Stegostoma tigrinum: one gene and its partner. The protein of the gene in region 1 binds, or shares a complex with, the protein of each later gene. Links are inferred from orthologs where the notes say so. Each region holds a gene or a part of one and is shown in the gene's direction. Other genes may lie near its edges.

Region 1 (7,346 bases):
GAGGCTCTGTCCTATGTCTGTTTACCCCCTTGCTCTTAATGTATTTGTAGAATCTCTTTGGATTATTCTTATCTGCCAATGCTATTTCAGATTTCATTTTGCCTTCCTGATTACTGTCTTAAAAATGCCCCTAAACTCCTTATATTGATTAAGAGATTCAGTCGGTCCAAGTTGTCTGTATTTTTAAAAAGATTCTTTTTTATTCTTGACTAGAACCTCAATATCTTTATTTATCCATTATTCCTTAATCTTACCAGCCCTACCCTTCACAGGAACAAAATGCATCTGAACTCTTGTCATCATACTCTTGAACACCTTCCACTTGTCAGATGTCCTTTTACCAACAAACAGTCTGCTCCAATCAACTTTTGAAAGTTCTTGTCTCATATCATTAAAATTTGCCTTACTACAATTAAAAACTTTAACTTTCATGGAAGGCTTATCCTTTTCCACAACCACTTTGAAACTAATAGCATTATGATCGCTAAACCCACAGTGTGGACCCACTTTTATTTCAGTCACGTGCCCTGCCTTATTGCCCAAAAGAAGCTTTTAATTTTGCTCCTTTTCTATTAGAAGCATCCACATATCGATCAAGGAAGCTTTCTTGAACACATTTGACAAATTCTTCATCATCCAAACCTTTAACACTATGGTAGCCCCAGTCAAGGTTCGGAAAATTAAAACTCCCCGTTATCACAACTTTATTACACTTACATATATCTGAGCTGTCCCTACATACTCGTTTCTCAATTTCTTTCTTACTGTTAGGGGGCCTATAGTACAATCCCAACAAAGTGACCTTTCCTTTGTCGGGCAGAAGATACAAAAGCTTAAACAAGTACCAACAGATTCAAGAACAGCTTCTTCCCTGCTGTTATCAGACTTCTGAATGGCCCTCTCAAATTTTAAATTTAATGTCGGTCTCACTCATTGTGCACATAACATTGTATTCCTTGCTCTGTTCTATTACCCTAATGCAATTTTTATGGTTAAGATCAGCCTGAACTAATGCAAAACAGAACTTTTCACTGTACGTAAGCACATATTTCATAACAAATAAAATCAAATCAAACCTGCTGAACTCACCCCTCATAAGATAGTCTCTCCACATCTGGGATCAGCCTAATGAAACTTCCCTGGGCTGCCTCCAATGCCAGTCCATCTTTTCTTCAATAAGGGGCCCAAAACTATCCACAGTATTCCAGCTGTGGTCTAACTTTTACAGTTTTAGCAAAACTTCCCTACTTTTATATTCCATTCCCTTCAAAAAAAAAGCCAAAATTCCATTTGGCTTCCCTGTTTCTGGCTGAACATGGATGTCAGCTTTTTGTGATTTATGGATGAGGACTCCCAAACCTCTCTGATCTGTAACCTTCTGCAGTCTTTCTCCATTTAAATATTATTCAGTCCCTCCCTTCATGTTGCCAAAATGCACACCCTACAGACAATAAGACATGCCGAAACAGGGTGAAAGTTGAAGATATTCTGGATGTTGGATTCGCTGATCTTAGCACTGTCTGGAATAAGAACTAGGCCATTCAGCCCCTACAGCCTGCTCCACTATTTAATACAATCATGGCTGATCTCGACTTGGCCTCAACTCCACTTTCCTGTCTGCTATCCATTATCATTGAATACTGACAGTGTGGAAGGAGGTCATTTGGCCCATTGAGCCCATACTGACCCTCTGAACAGCATCCCACCCGAATTATGTCTGTAACCTCTCAATTACCCTGGCTAATCCACCTAACCTTCACATCCCTTGATTCTATGGAGCAAGTTAGCATGGCTATCCACCTAACCTGCACATCTTAGGTTTAGATTTAGTCTTTGGACAGTGGGAGGAAGTCGGAGCGATCTCACGCAGACACAGGAAGAATTTGTGAACTCTACCGTAGTCAGTCACCCGAAGATGGAATTGAACCCAGGTCCCTGGTGCTGTGAGGCAGCGATGCTAACCACAGAGCCAAGTGTCATCCAATCCTTCAACCTCTTACTAATTAAAAATCTGTCTATCTCCTGCTTAAACCAACAAGTACTGCATTCTAGGGGAGTGAATTCCACAGGTTTCTGACCCTTTGAGACAAGTAATTTCTCCTCATCTCTGTTTTAAATCTGCCACCCCTTATTCTAAAAGTATGACTATTCATTCTAAATTGCCCCACATGAGGAAACATTCTGTCTACATCTATTCATCTCAACTAGATCTCTTCTCATGCTTCTCAACTCCTGAGAGTACAGGCCTGGACCGCTCAATTTCTCGTGCAAACACAAGCTTATCTTGAAACAAAATATGACACCAAGGGTGTGTAAGATCTGTTTCAGTCTCAGAAAGCTGCTGTGGAGGGAGACGACGCTGCTGAGTAGAGGATGTAATACTTCTTGAAATGTAACTACCATATCATAGAAAAACACAGCAACAAATTTGCTTATAGTAAGCACCCATGAACAGCAATGAGAAAAGTGACCAGGGAACATCAATGATTTGGATGTGAACATGGAAGATACGATTAGTAAGTTTGCAAGTGACACCAAAATTGACGGCATAGTGGAAAATGAAGAGGATTATCTCAGAGGACAACAGGACTTTGATCAATGGGCCAATGGGTCGAGGAGTGGCAGATGGAGTTTAATTTAGATAAATGTGAGGTGCTGCATTTTGGAAAGGCAAATCAGGGCAGGACTTACACATTTAATTGTAAGGTCTTGGGGAGTTTTGTTGAATGAAGAGACCTTGGTGTGCTCATTGTTCCTTGAAGGTGGAGTTGCAGGTAGATAGGATAGTGAAGAAGGTGTTTGGTATGCTTGCCTTTATTGGTCAGTGCATTGAGTACAGGGGTTGGGAGGACATATTGCAGCTGTACACTACCCTGGTTATGTCACTTTTGAAATACTGCCTGCAATTCTGGTCTCCCCGTTGTAGAAAAAATCTTGTTAAACTTGAAAGGATTCGGTAAAGATTTCCAAGGATGTTGCCAGAATTGGAGGGCTTGAATAGGCTTGGGGGCTATTTTCCCTGGAGGGTTGGAGGCTGAGGGGTGACCTTATTGAGGTTTATAAAATCATGAGGGGCATGGATAGAGTGAATAGACAAGGTCTTTTCCCCGGGTTGAGGGAGTCCAAAACTAAATGGCATAGTTTTAAAGTGAGAGGAGAAAGATATAAAAGGGACCTTAGGGGAAACTTATTCACGCAGAAGGTGGTGCGTGTATGAAATGAGCTGACTGAGGAAGTGGTGGGTGCTGGTACAGTTACAGCATTTAAAAGGCAGCTGGATGGGTACATGGTGTTCGGAGGGATATGGGCCAAATGCTGGCAAATGGGCATTTCACATTGGCTCTGTTGAAAAGTCTTTTAGACTTGAAATGTTAGTTTGCTCTCTCTCCCTGGATGCTGCCTGATCTGCTGAGATCTCCAGCAATTTTTGCTCTCAGTGTAGATTCTAGCTTCTGCAGTAACTTGCTCCCGCGATTCAATGGAACTGGATTAGTTTAGGATATCTGGTTGGCATAGTGAGTTGGAGCGAAGTGTCTGTTTCTGTGATGTATAACTCTATGACCCAAGGCTCTATAAAGTTTTTGGTTGAAGAATGGATATTGGCCGATTCATTACTAAAGAGGGAAACCTGAATCCTTTCACAAAATATCACCATGAGGTATTTTACTCACCCTAAGGAGGCAGTTTAACAGCTCATCCAAACAAAAACGCAATGTTGAGGCTGCAGAGGGTGGAGGTGAGGAGAAATGCTCCTTTTCATTGAGGATCATGGGTCAGGGTTAGTCCCTGTATTAGACACATCATGAATGGCATTGTTAATGTCGCCAATCATCCCCATGTCTGCGTAAAATATTATGGCATTAAAATCTAGGACGCATCATAAATCAAGGACTGCACAGACCGCGCACACAGGAGGCTGGAAGAACACAGCAGGACAGGCAGCATCTGGAGGAAAGGAGCAGTCAATATTTCAGGTATTACCCTTCTTCGGGACATGCTAACACAGAGAGAGGTGAGTGCAGGGAAGGCAGTGGAGTCAGATACATTGGGGACAATTAAGCGACTCTTGGATAGGCACATGGAGGATAGTAAAATGTACGGTATGCCGGCTAGTTAGATCTTAGAGTAGGAATAATAGGTCGGCACAACATCGTGGGCCGAAGGGCCTGCACTGTGCTGTACTGCTCTATGTTGGAAAGAAGGGTTATACCCGAAACGTTGACTGCTCCTTTCCTTCTGGTCTGCTGTGGTCTTCCAGCCCCCTGTTTGTCTGTCTGCCTTGGATTCCAGCATCTGCCGTTTCTTTTCTGCCTCTAACACAGGGCTGTCCAGTGTCAGGTACCTGATAGTCCCACCCCCAGATCGTGGGGCTGTAGTTGGTGCAAAGCGAGGTGGCTCAGTCCCTGGTTGGCGGCTGCTTCTGTCTATCAAAAGGAGAATCAATATACAATAAGAGACACCCAAACCTGGTCTCGGATCAGAGACTGTGGAGGCTCCTGGAGCTGACCGGAAGCCAGAATCTACGGCTCTCGTTGCTGTGTGTCAACTTGTGTGTTTTAGTTTTTGTTTAACAATTAGGAGATGTTTGGCCTTTGCCTTGCGACAGAAGCAGTAGCTCAGGCGGGGGAAGGATGAGCGCAGACCCGGCGTGCTGGAGAGCCCCCGCCGCTGAACGAGTGCAGCTCGAATTTCCGAGCGGCGCAAGACGGACCGAATGGAGTTCGCTCAAGTTTGCGTGTTGCTGGCGGCGCTGCTAGCGCACAGCGCAATCCCCCGGGTAAGCGAATTCGTTAATAACGGCCTTCTTATTCTCTTCCGGCAAATACAGAGTTAGGAAGACCAACTAAAACCGAATCTGGGAGAAATAGAGTGGAAGTTGATCCGAATTAAATTGCAACAGGGAAGCGAATTATACAACCAATTTTAACTCATTTTAAGTTAAGTCATTATTATCCTGAGGATGTAGCGACTGAAGTCAAATCACATCACAATTTTTAAATTGTTTTGTACCTCGTTATCTTTAGATTTAGTGGGTCCAACTATTAACAGTATTTCCCTTGTAAAGGTGCGCTGTAGATGTTGGATATAGTATGTTTCAGTTGGAATGTTACGCTTCTAACAGGCGGGGAATGGCTTGTCTGTAGTGCAGTGGTAGGTCCCTGTCTCTGAGCTAGCAAGCCCGGCGTTCAAGTGTCACCTGTGTGTGCAACGCCACAGAAGTTGCAGGTGAAATTCGGCATCATCTCCGTGTGTGACCCTTCTCCCCACCTGGTTAGGAAAATTCTTCCAAAGAGCTGCAGTTGGCTTAAGACCCCTGTGGGAGATGACGGAATGGACATGCAGGCCAGTGGCTGTAACATGTAAGAGCAGAAGGAAGCCATTCAGCCCACCGACTCTGCTGTCCCCCTCAGCGAGATCTTGGCCGATCCCATAACCCTCGACTGCCTTTTCCCCAACGCCCTTAACAAATTAAATACTGAGGAAGGGTCACTCGGCCCGCAAAGTTAACTCTGATTCCTCTTCACAGACCTGCTGAGCTGAACCAACAATTTCTGCTTTTGTTTCTGATTAAATGTCTGTCTGTCTCAGCCTTGGATGTGCATAAGGACCCAACCTCGACCCTCTGGGGTAAAGAATTCCACAGATTCGCTCCCCTCTGCGAGAAGAAAATTCTGCCTCATTTCTGTCGTATATGTGTGACCCCTCATTCTGAGATGATGCCCCCTGCTCCTATAGTCTCCCACAAGAGGAAACAAACCTGTCTGCATTAATCCCCTTAACACGTTTCAGTGAGATCTCCTCTGATTCTTCTGAATGTTGGAGTGACAGAGGGGGCACTCTTCCCAAACTGTAACTAGCCAATGAGTCTCTGACTCCTGGAAAGATGGGCAGAAAATCGCATTTTGTTGATGCAAAAGCACACAACCACATTCCAAAAACTTACTCCCAACGGCTGAGTGATCGCTCTGCAATTCTGTACCAACCAGGTGGTCTCTTTATTCAGAGATACTTGTGCGATGTGGGCATCGCTGGCTGTGCCCAGCATTTATTGCCCGTCCCTAGTTGCCCCTTGATGGGGGTGAGCTGCCTTCTTGAACCGCTACAGCCAATTTTTGTGGCAGGATACCCACAATGCAGTTCCGCACAGTGGAGCCAAATAGTCTCCTTCAGTGCCATAACTAATAATCATTTTGCGATAAGGTGAGGGAATGCCAGGATTTTGACCCCTTGGTAGCGAAGGAACGGTGATATATTTCCAAGTCGGGACAGTGAGTGGCTCGGAGGGGAACTTGCAGGGCATGGTGTTCCTATGTATCTGCTGCCCTTGTCCTTCTGGTTGGAAGTGGTCGTGAGTTTAGAAGGTGCTGTCTGAGGATCTTTGGCGAATTTCTGCAGTGCATCTTGTAGCTGGTACGCACTGCATCCACAGTAACAATATTAAATAAACCCAGCATTCATACATCCACAAGGAGCATCAGAGGCTCAGCGGTGATCTTGTAGAGGTTTATGAAATCATGAGGGGCATGGATAAGGTGAAGAGTCAAGGTGTTTTCCCCAGGGCAGGGGAGTCCAAAACTAGAGGGGCATAGGTTTAAAGTGGAGGGAGGTAACATATAAAAGGGTCCTATAGGGCAGCTTTTTCATGCAGAGGGTGGTGCATGTGTGGAATGGACTGCCAGAGGAGGTGGTGGAGGCTGGTACAATGAGAACATTTTAAAGGCGTCTGGATGGGTTTGGAGGGATATGGTCCAAATGCTGGCAAATGGGACTAGATTAATTTAGGATATCTAGTTGGTGTGGACGAGTTGGACTGAAGAGTCTGTTTCCGCGCTGTGTACCTCTACGACTCTATGATTCTAAATCAGAAAACACATGTGTAGGAAGGGCCAGTTTAGAGAATATAACTGATGGGGAGAGTGACTTTTGTGAATGTTGCAGCTTCTAATCGGAGTGTTTTGTCTCTGCAGGTGCTGTGTATGGTCCCTGCCTGTGAGATTATGCTGAGGGTCACACAGCTACAACAGGAATGTTTCCTGAAACTGAGTACAGACAATCAGAGTTCAGAGACAGGTGAGTGAACAACATTGGGAGGAGAGGTGACCAGGCCCTGTCGCACTGTCCGAGGAGCACACCAACCAGTTACAGGCTGGGAAAAGGCATAATGCCAGAGGAAGCAATAAGGTAGAAAACAGGAGCCTACATTTACCTAGCACCTGGATACCTCCCAGCCAATTTGAAGTGCCATCACTGCTGTAATGTGGAGGCTATTTGGAGCACAGTAAGCTCACACAAACAGCAATGTGATCGATGATCAGATCATCTATTTCGGTGTTAATCAACTGAAG
Region 2 (7,305 bases), on another chromosome or scaffold:
AACCGCTTAAATTGCAATCAGCAATAACCTTACACAAGGCAATGATCAGAAAATGGATAAATGGATTTCCTAATATTCAATGAAGTCTTATCAGGTTAGATTATCTCCACAGCAGAGGGGTCGAAAACTTTCACCCAATAACACTTTGAGAGCAATGCAATTTCAGGACTGTGAGGCTTCAAGATAAAAGTCTTTAAGGATTAACTAGGAATAGGCAACAATTGTTTGACACATCTATTCTAAAAATTATTTTTTCATTTAAATTATTCCAGGTATACCTAAAGACTTAATTTGTTGAGATTCTCACTTTCAAATGGTTCTTAAAAGATATTTCAGTTGCCTGAATTTGATTAGGATGTGACTCAGTCCCTGGTGTCCAACAGTCTTTGGTTAATCAGAACCAAATATTATCAACTTAGTTTCAAAATGGTCCAGAACAAGTTGAATTAATGCAACATACAGCAACGTTCATTAGAACATGAAAACGTAAAACAATTTGTTAAAACTCCCGCATGACACAAATCTGGACATCTTCACTTCAACGTCATCACCGTCAAATACTAAAATATTACAGAAAGAAAAAATCACTTAATTGCGTTCGGTTCCAAATACGCCAAGTGAACTCTGAATGAGGGCAGCATTAAATTAACGATACATGATTCAAATATATATTATTTAATCAGCTTTCAATGCAGCTCATGAGTATACACTTAAATTTCCGTTGGATGATATATTGAACTCAGTTTCAACTGGGTGACTCAAACAATAATATTAACGCAAGAATAATTGTCCTGCACTCCATAACAAAATCGGAAGTTTTATTTTAAACGAATGCTCTTAGAAATCAGAGAACAAACGATAAGTTCCCTCATTGTGTTTGGTTGTTAGGTTCAACATAAAAGAAACATTGTTCAAAACGTATCTTTTGTGTACGACTGGGGGGCGAAGATGTCGACAAGAGAACAGGAAGATTTCGTGCATGTCAATTCATTAATCAGCCACACGTTTCCCATTGAAAACATTCGCTGTGTTTGGATCACGATTATTAGCTTTAACCTCTAGGTGGCCTTAGCTCTTGTCAACTTGCGACGAAGTGATCTTTGGAGATGTTTTCATTTTGACTTGAGCATTGATAATATTACACACCTCTGGAGCGGATCAAACATGAGTCCATGCTTTATAGCTCAAAGGCGGGGAAATTACCACTACACCGCAAGGGCCCAACACAATCTAGATGTTTCCTAACCCACCTGTCACACAGATGTCATTGCACATTTGGAGCTGATGGGACTCGAATTTGAGCCTTCTGGCTCAGAGATAGGGACACTATCACTCTGCCAAGGGAGCCCTCATCAACACAATTTTATTTTTGCTGCATGCAGTAGTACTCCACTCTATCAGTTAAGCTATTGAAGGAGAGCCACAACATGACCTAAGTACATGTTTTGAAGCACCCTGTTCAGATGGGTAATGGCACGTCTCTGGAGCAGATGGGTCTTGAACCTAAGATTTCAGGACCAGAGGTAGGTACGCTAGCACTCTACCATGTAGCTGTTAACACAAAACAGATATTTTCCTAATGCGCCTATTCAGAGATGTCCCACCTCTAGAGGGGACGAACGTGAACCCGGGTCACTTGGTCCAGATGTAAACACAATCTAGGTTTTTTTTTAAGTACCCAGAAGATCTGTCACGCACAACAGAGCTGCTTTCTCGCCATCAAATCACCATGACTTCATTTAAAAAAAACTACTACCACCGCAAGTAATCAGCCATGTTGCCAATTAAATTTCTACAAGGAAAACCCAGTCAAGGTGGTCTGAATTTGAAGTAGGATCCAGGTGACCAGCCATTTTCCTATATTGAATCGAGTGAACTGTCTTAATAGAATTCCTCATTAGAATCCCACTTCATAATCATACCTAGGTGTCCCTGGTGATGCAATGGTAGATTAGTTTAGATTCCCTACAGTGTGGAAACATGCCCTTCGGCCCAACAATTCCACACCGCCCCTTGGAACATCCCACCCAGACCCATCCCCCTATAACCCACACACCCCTGAACACTACAGGCAATTTAGCATGGCCAATCCACCTAGCCTGCACATCTTTGGACTGTGGGAGGAAATCGGAGCACCCAGAGGAAACCCACGCAGACACGGGGAGAATGTGCAAACTCCACACAGACAGTCGCCCGAGGCTGGAATCGAACCAGGGCCCCTGGCGCTGTGAGGCTGCAGTGCTAACCGCTGAGCCACTGTGCCGCCCACAACCCCTGGACCCAGTGTTCCAACCCCAGGACCGAAAGCCCCGGGTTCAGATTTCACGTGCTCCGAGGACAGGTTTTTTTTAAATGCCCAAGTACCCCCATCTCAACTAAACCTTTGTTCGATAATAGCTTGCAATTTTCAGTCAGGCATCCATTGATTAATGAAATGAGCATGTTAGTTGAGTTAAAGTGACAACTTACTTTCGGTTACCTAACGTTTCCTACCACGAGATCATCTAGGAGATATTCCATTAATTTTCAAAACGTATCGTAAGAATTGTTATTGAACATTCAATTCATCTGGACTCATCCATTATGTTCCAGTCAACAATTCGTTTCTGGATATGAATGATTCTACATGAAATTTTTCTTGAATTTCTTGATTAAATAAATCGTAAATTTGCCTCCTCTGTGTCAGTCATCAGACGAAATTTCGTGCATGTCTCCCGTAATGATGTGCTACCCCAGCCGTTTAACTTCGTCGTTGTTCCATGTTTCCTAATGGTTTCTGCCTTCTACCACCACCTCAGCCCTGGGCTCAGTTGTGACACAAAAATGATTCGAGACTCTCGCTTCTACGACAACTGCAATCGATGTTTTCCTCAACCAACGTATTGTATTTTTCCTCTGGAACAGAAACGACTTGAACGACGGAGAATCGTAGGTTTAGAGGTGGATACACTACCATTGCGCCAGAAAGCCTCTGACTGTCAACCAACCATTAATTGTTTTGGATGTAAAATCTTTGAATTCTTCGATTAGATTCTGCTGCAGTCCCCGTCTCCATTATTCAATACATAAACTTAGTGAACCCTCCAAGAGACTGCATTTGCTAACCCACCCAAGATATCGACCAGCCCTTGCTAAACTGTCACTTAATACATTCAGAGCATTGATTGAGCACGCAGTTGAACAAAAAAAAACTATTATACCAAGACAGTTTTCAATCGGGATGCATTTTCCCTTTGCCTTACTTTGTCACAAAAAAGTAACCTTTTGATTGGTAATTTCGTCGCTGACAAAATTCCTAATATCACATTCCACCAGATTTGAGACAGACATATATAAGCTTCTGCATGTATTCTGCATCCAACGCCACAGCAGTTGGGGAAGGAGAAGAAATAACATTAAGTATGAAATCTAAATTTGCACAAATTCCACAGTCCAGGCCATGATCCGTTGCTTGAATTATTGTGCTTGGGTGTTTTTAGCTGTAATTATACTCAGTAGTTGTACAGACAATCCGTCCATATCTAAATAGATTTATGGAAGCAGTTGGATTTTAACACTACGTGGAAAGACTGAGGTTGTTCCTCTTCCATCCCAGGTTAGGGGGAGATTTAGTAGACGGATTGTAAACTGAAGAGTGTTTGAGGAGATACTGTGACCAGCGGGTCAGTGACTACAAGGCGTAAATTTCCAAGATATTTGGCAAAACAGCCAAAAGAGACATGAATATTTTATGGCGAGAGTGAGGTGTGATCGCGAATACACAACCCAAACATGTTATGGAAACAAATCCGAAAAAAAAAACTGAATCAATAGTTGAAGGGGCGAAACTTGTGAGATTGGGATAGTTTTTACAGAGTGGCATTGTGAGTTCTCCCTCCGTGTTGTAAGATTCTATGAGATAAGGTCCTGGGGACGGTTCAAACATGGACATTTTTACATGGAGGGACATAAGCCGAGAAAAGTTTGGAATTTTATAATGATCATTCCAATCAGCGGGCGAGGAAGCAGTAGTGAGACCTTGCTCTGGAGATGATCACACATTACAAGCACCTCCTTCGATAAATTATTAAACCGGCTCTGACTACGCGTTCCCATTCCACAGGGAATGCCGATGACGTCCTTGTGTATGCATTTAGGTCTTTTTTTCTTGGAACTGGAACGTGACTGCTCTATGTGGACAGTTACTTGGTCTGTCGTATAAAACCAGCAAGTTTCCGCGTGTTGGATATCAGAGTTCCAGTCCTGGGACTTGAAGAGAACTAGGGGATCTCGACTTCGCTGAGAGAAAGAGACAGAAACAACCAAGAAGACTGTTAGAGGGTCAGGAAGAACTCAGAAATAGCCGCGGACAGAACTGAGCGATCTTTGTTCTTCAGTTTCTCATTCTCTAACTCAGCACCAAGGACAGCGGCTAAACACACAGCTACAATCTGAAGCAACAACGTAATAGTAAGTGTTTCAACTGGCTTTTGATCGCTAAATCTGTTTCTGGAAGGTGCAAAAACGGAACAATCTTGAACAATGTACTCTCCCATGTATTTCCAAACAAACTGATAGTTATTACGCGCGTGTGTGCGTGTGCGTGTGTGTGTGTAAAAGAGAGAAAGAGAATGAGAGAATTGGGTTTGAGATAATAGATTAGAATTTCGAGTAGTATGTCTCGAGCTTTGCTGCTGATATAGACTTATTTCCAAGAAAGGTTATACGGCGAACTTTGACTTCCCGTACCACTCCCAAAGACATCCCTAAATTTTCAGCTACGACCCAGGTCCGAAACCATTCAGTGGAGTGAGAGACCTCTTCGAATAGCTTTATTGAGGTAACGCCTTCCTATGTTGGATTTCAGGATCCGACGCAATGGTGATTCGGCTCAGCTCCCACGTCCTGACGCTTTTCGCTCTTCTGAATGTGTTCGGCTCCCGCACATCGGGGTTCCCGGCGCTTGGAACCTACTCCCACCTGAGGTAAGTTCGCTGCCCGCTTTCTCCCCCCGCCTCCAAAGGCACTCGTTTCCGTGTGAAATGCCCTCAGTGATTTTCTTTACATGAAGAGTCCTGAACAATTGTGGGCAATCATGCTGCAATTTCAGTTATTTCACACGACCGACTTGAAAATAGAGCATTGAGCTGTTCGGAGAGCTGTGTGGCGTAGGTCCTTATGTATATTTTACGCTGAGATAGATTCTCAGGACAGTTCTGAGTGTCAGCAGACCCGAAATGTTAACTCTTTTTTTCCCTCCATAGATGCTGCCAGACCTGCTGAGCTTTTCCAGCAACTTCGTTTCCAATCCTGAATCACAGGTTCCGCAGTTCTTTTGGTTTTATTGTTTAGGTTTTTGTTCAGTTGGGGAGCCAAGGGTTATGGGAAAAGAGCAGGAAGTGAGGAATGTGGAATCAGCTATGACCCTGTGAACGGTGGAGCAGACTGGAGGCACCAAACGGCGTACTGCTGTTGCTATTTCTTACAGTCATTGCATCTGGGGATGAAGGGAGATGGGTCCATCCGCAATCTCGATTGTACGTTGCAGGATAGTGGCGTCGAAATGCACATACTTGAGGGGCTTGACAATTCAGCCTCGCGCCCAGAGCTTTGCTATGAAAACACGAACGGGGGAGAAGCGGGGGTGGGGGGAGGGTACAGCTGATGATCACAACTTCCAGGTATTTCATTGAATTTGGGCTGATTTGAATCCATCACATTAACTGCGGGGATAATGCTCATAAATGAAGTTGCCACATTCGAAGGGGAGTGGGGAAGAGTCACTGGGATGATGAAGATGATGCGGTCAATGTTGGAATGAATGACTTATTTATGGGCTCTCAATGGTTAAAAAAACAACTATATAAACCTGAACATTACACTCCGCAGATTGAACAGGGAGTGTGAATCTGAGGTTCCCTCCCAACTCTTTCTAGAGGATTATCTTAGACCTCAACGTCTTTGTAATGTTACTCCTGGAACAAGCCGGACACAATGCTGATAACCGGTGAAAAGAAGGGCGTTCTTTCGATTGAGATTTTCTCTGTGATTATTGCTAATGCCTTTCTTCAGTCTGCCCAGAAAACTGATGTGATCCTGTGTTGAGACATTATAGGATAATTCAAGATTGGCTTTAATCGGTATGTCCGGGGAAAAGTTCATAGATGCGGAAACCAAATGTCTGCAGATTGTAACATCATCACTTCTGCCTCAAATTGCGTACCGATCACCCATTTTATACAGAGACAACAAGGTGTAGAGCTGGAGGAACACAGCAGGCCAAGCAGCATCAGAGGAGCAGGAAAGCTAACGTTTTGGGCCTAGACCGTTCTTCATTTTTGGAGGAGGGTCTGGGCTGGAAACGTCATCTTTCCTGCTCCTCTGATGCTGCTTGGCCTGCTGTGCTCATCTGTAGTTCCTACTATCTCTGAAACCCTTTCTTATATGGTTGGCTTCTGTTATTCTGATGCAGTTCAGTTCATTGTCATGTATGGCTCTGTCTACGCTGTTTGTCAGTGCTGTGGCCATTAGGTTACACTAACAGAAATAGTAGGAACTGCAGGAGAAGGCTCTCGGCCCAAAACGTCAGTCTTCTTGTTCCTCTGATGCTGCTTGGCTTGCTGTGTTCATCCAGCTCTACACCTTGTTATCTCAGGTTACACTAACACATTATTTGTGAGCCAGCCTCGTGTTATTTACAGCCAGGCCAATGCTAGAGTTGGACTGATTTTATTTACCTCTAACCTTCAGGCTGGGAAATGCTGCTGGGTTCGATGGTCAGTCCAGGGAGGATCAGTCACAACCACCAGTGAAAGGTGATAGTGACATTTACCAAAGCCCATTGTCAGACAGTGATAAACTCTATTACCAGTTGTCTGCAAGCATTCCAAGGTGAGAGTACTATATTGCCAATCTCGTATTTAAAACAAATAACAATTCAAAACTGCGCACAAATGGGCCTAGTATAATGATCTACGTTAACACTTAGGAAACACGATCAGGAGTGGGTCAGTCACCCTCCTGGAACCTGTTCTACCGTTCAAAATTCATGGTTGATCAGGTTGTGGCCTGAATACGCGTCTTATTTTCCCTCCTCAACCGAGTAACACTTCACTCTTTGTCCATTAAAAAAACTTTAGTTCCACCCTGAATATATTCAATGGCTTAGCCTCTAATGTCCATACCAAGAGAATTCCCAAGACGTGCAAATGAGTGGAGAATTGCCACCTCATTTCTGTCTTAAATTGAACACGTTTTAATTTTAAACTTTTCCCCCAGTTCTGCATTCTACCAGGAGGAGGAAGATTCTCTCTCCCAGCAAACCCC

Evidence for each region.
Region 2: the proteins of vasoactive intestinal polypeptide receptor-like (region 1) and vip are in contact, whole or in part, in a cryo-EM structure (PDB 8E3Z), measured with the Homo sapiens proteins. The link is inferred for Stegostoma tigrinum from reciprocal best matches to the Homo sapiens genes VIPR1 and VIP. Residues at the interface, in NP_004615.2 of Homo sapiens: Glu36, Cys37, Val40, Ile43, Asn69, Phe90, Leu92, Phe93, Tyr118, Ile120, Asp125, Asp126, Asp132, Gln135, Thr136, Tyr139, Val142, Lys143, Tyr146, Tyr150, Arg188, Lys195, Phe200, Ser202, Glu204, Ser205, Gln207, Cys208, Met219, Phe222; in NP_003372.1 of Homo sapiens: His125, Ser126, Asp127, Ala128, Val129, Phe130, Thr131, Asp132, Asn133, Tyr134, Thr135, Arg136, Leu137, Arg138, Lys139, Gln140, Met141, Ala142, Val143, Lys144, Lys145, Tyr146, Leu147, Asn148, Ile150, Leu151, Asn152.

The regions. Positions count from the first base shown.
Region 1 is NC_081355.1:151,506,226-151,513,571, reverse strand, and holds the start of vasoactive intestinal polypeptide receptor-like, read left to right. Parts: upstream 1-4,153; 5' UTR 4,154-4,714; coding exon 4,715-4,777; intron 4,778-6,968; coding exon 6,969-7,071; intron 7,072-7,346. UniProt on the Homo sapiens protein: G protein-coupled receptor activated by the neuropeptides vasoactive intestinal peptide (VIP) and pituitary adenylate cyclase-activating polypeptide (ADCYAP1/PACAP).
Region 2 is NC_081362.1:94,092,449-94,099,753, forward strand, and holds the start of vip (VIP peptides), read left to right. Parts: upstream 1-4,106; 5' UTR 4,107-4,449; intron 4,450-4,846; 5' UTR 4,847-4,857; coding exon 4,858-4,964; intron 4,965-6,729; coding exon 6,730-6,870; intron 6,871-7,305. UniProt on the Homo sapiens protein: PHM-27 and PHV-42 are two bioactive forms from proteolysis of the same precursor protein, that cause vasodilation. PHM-27 is a potent agonist of the calcitonin receptor CALCR, with similar efficacy as calcitonin.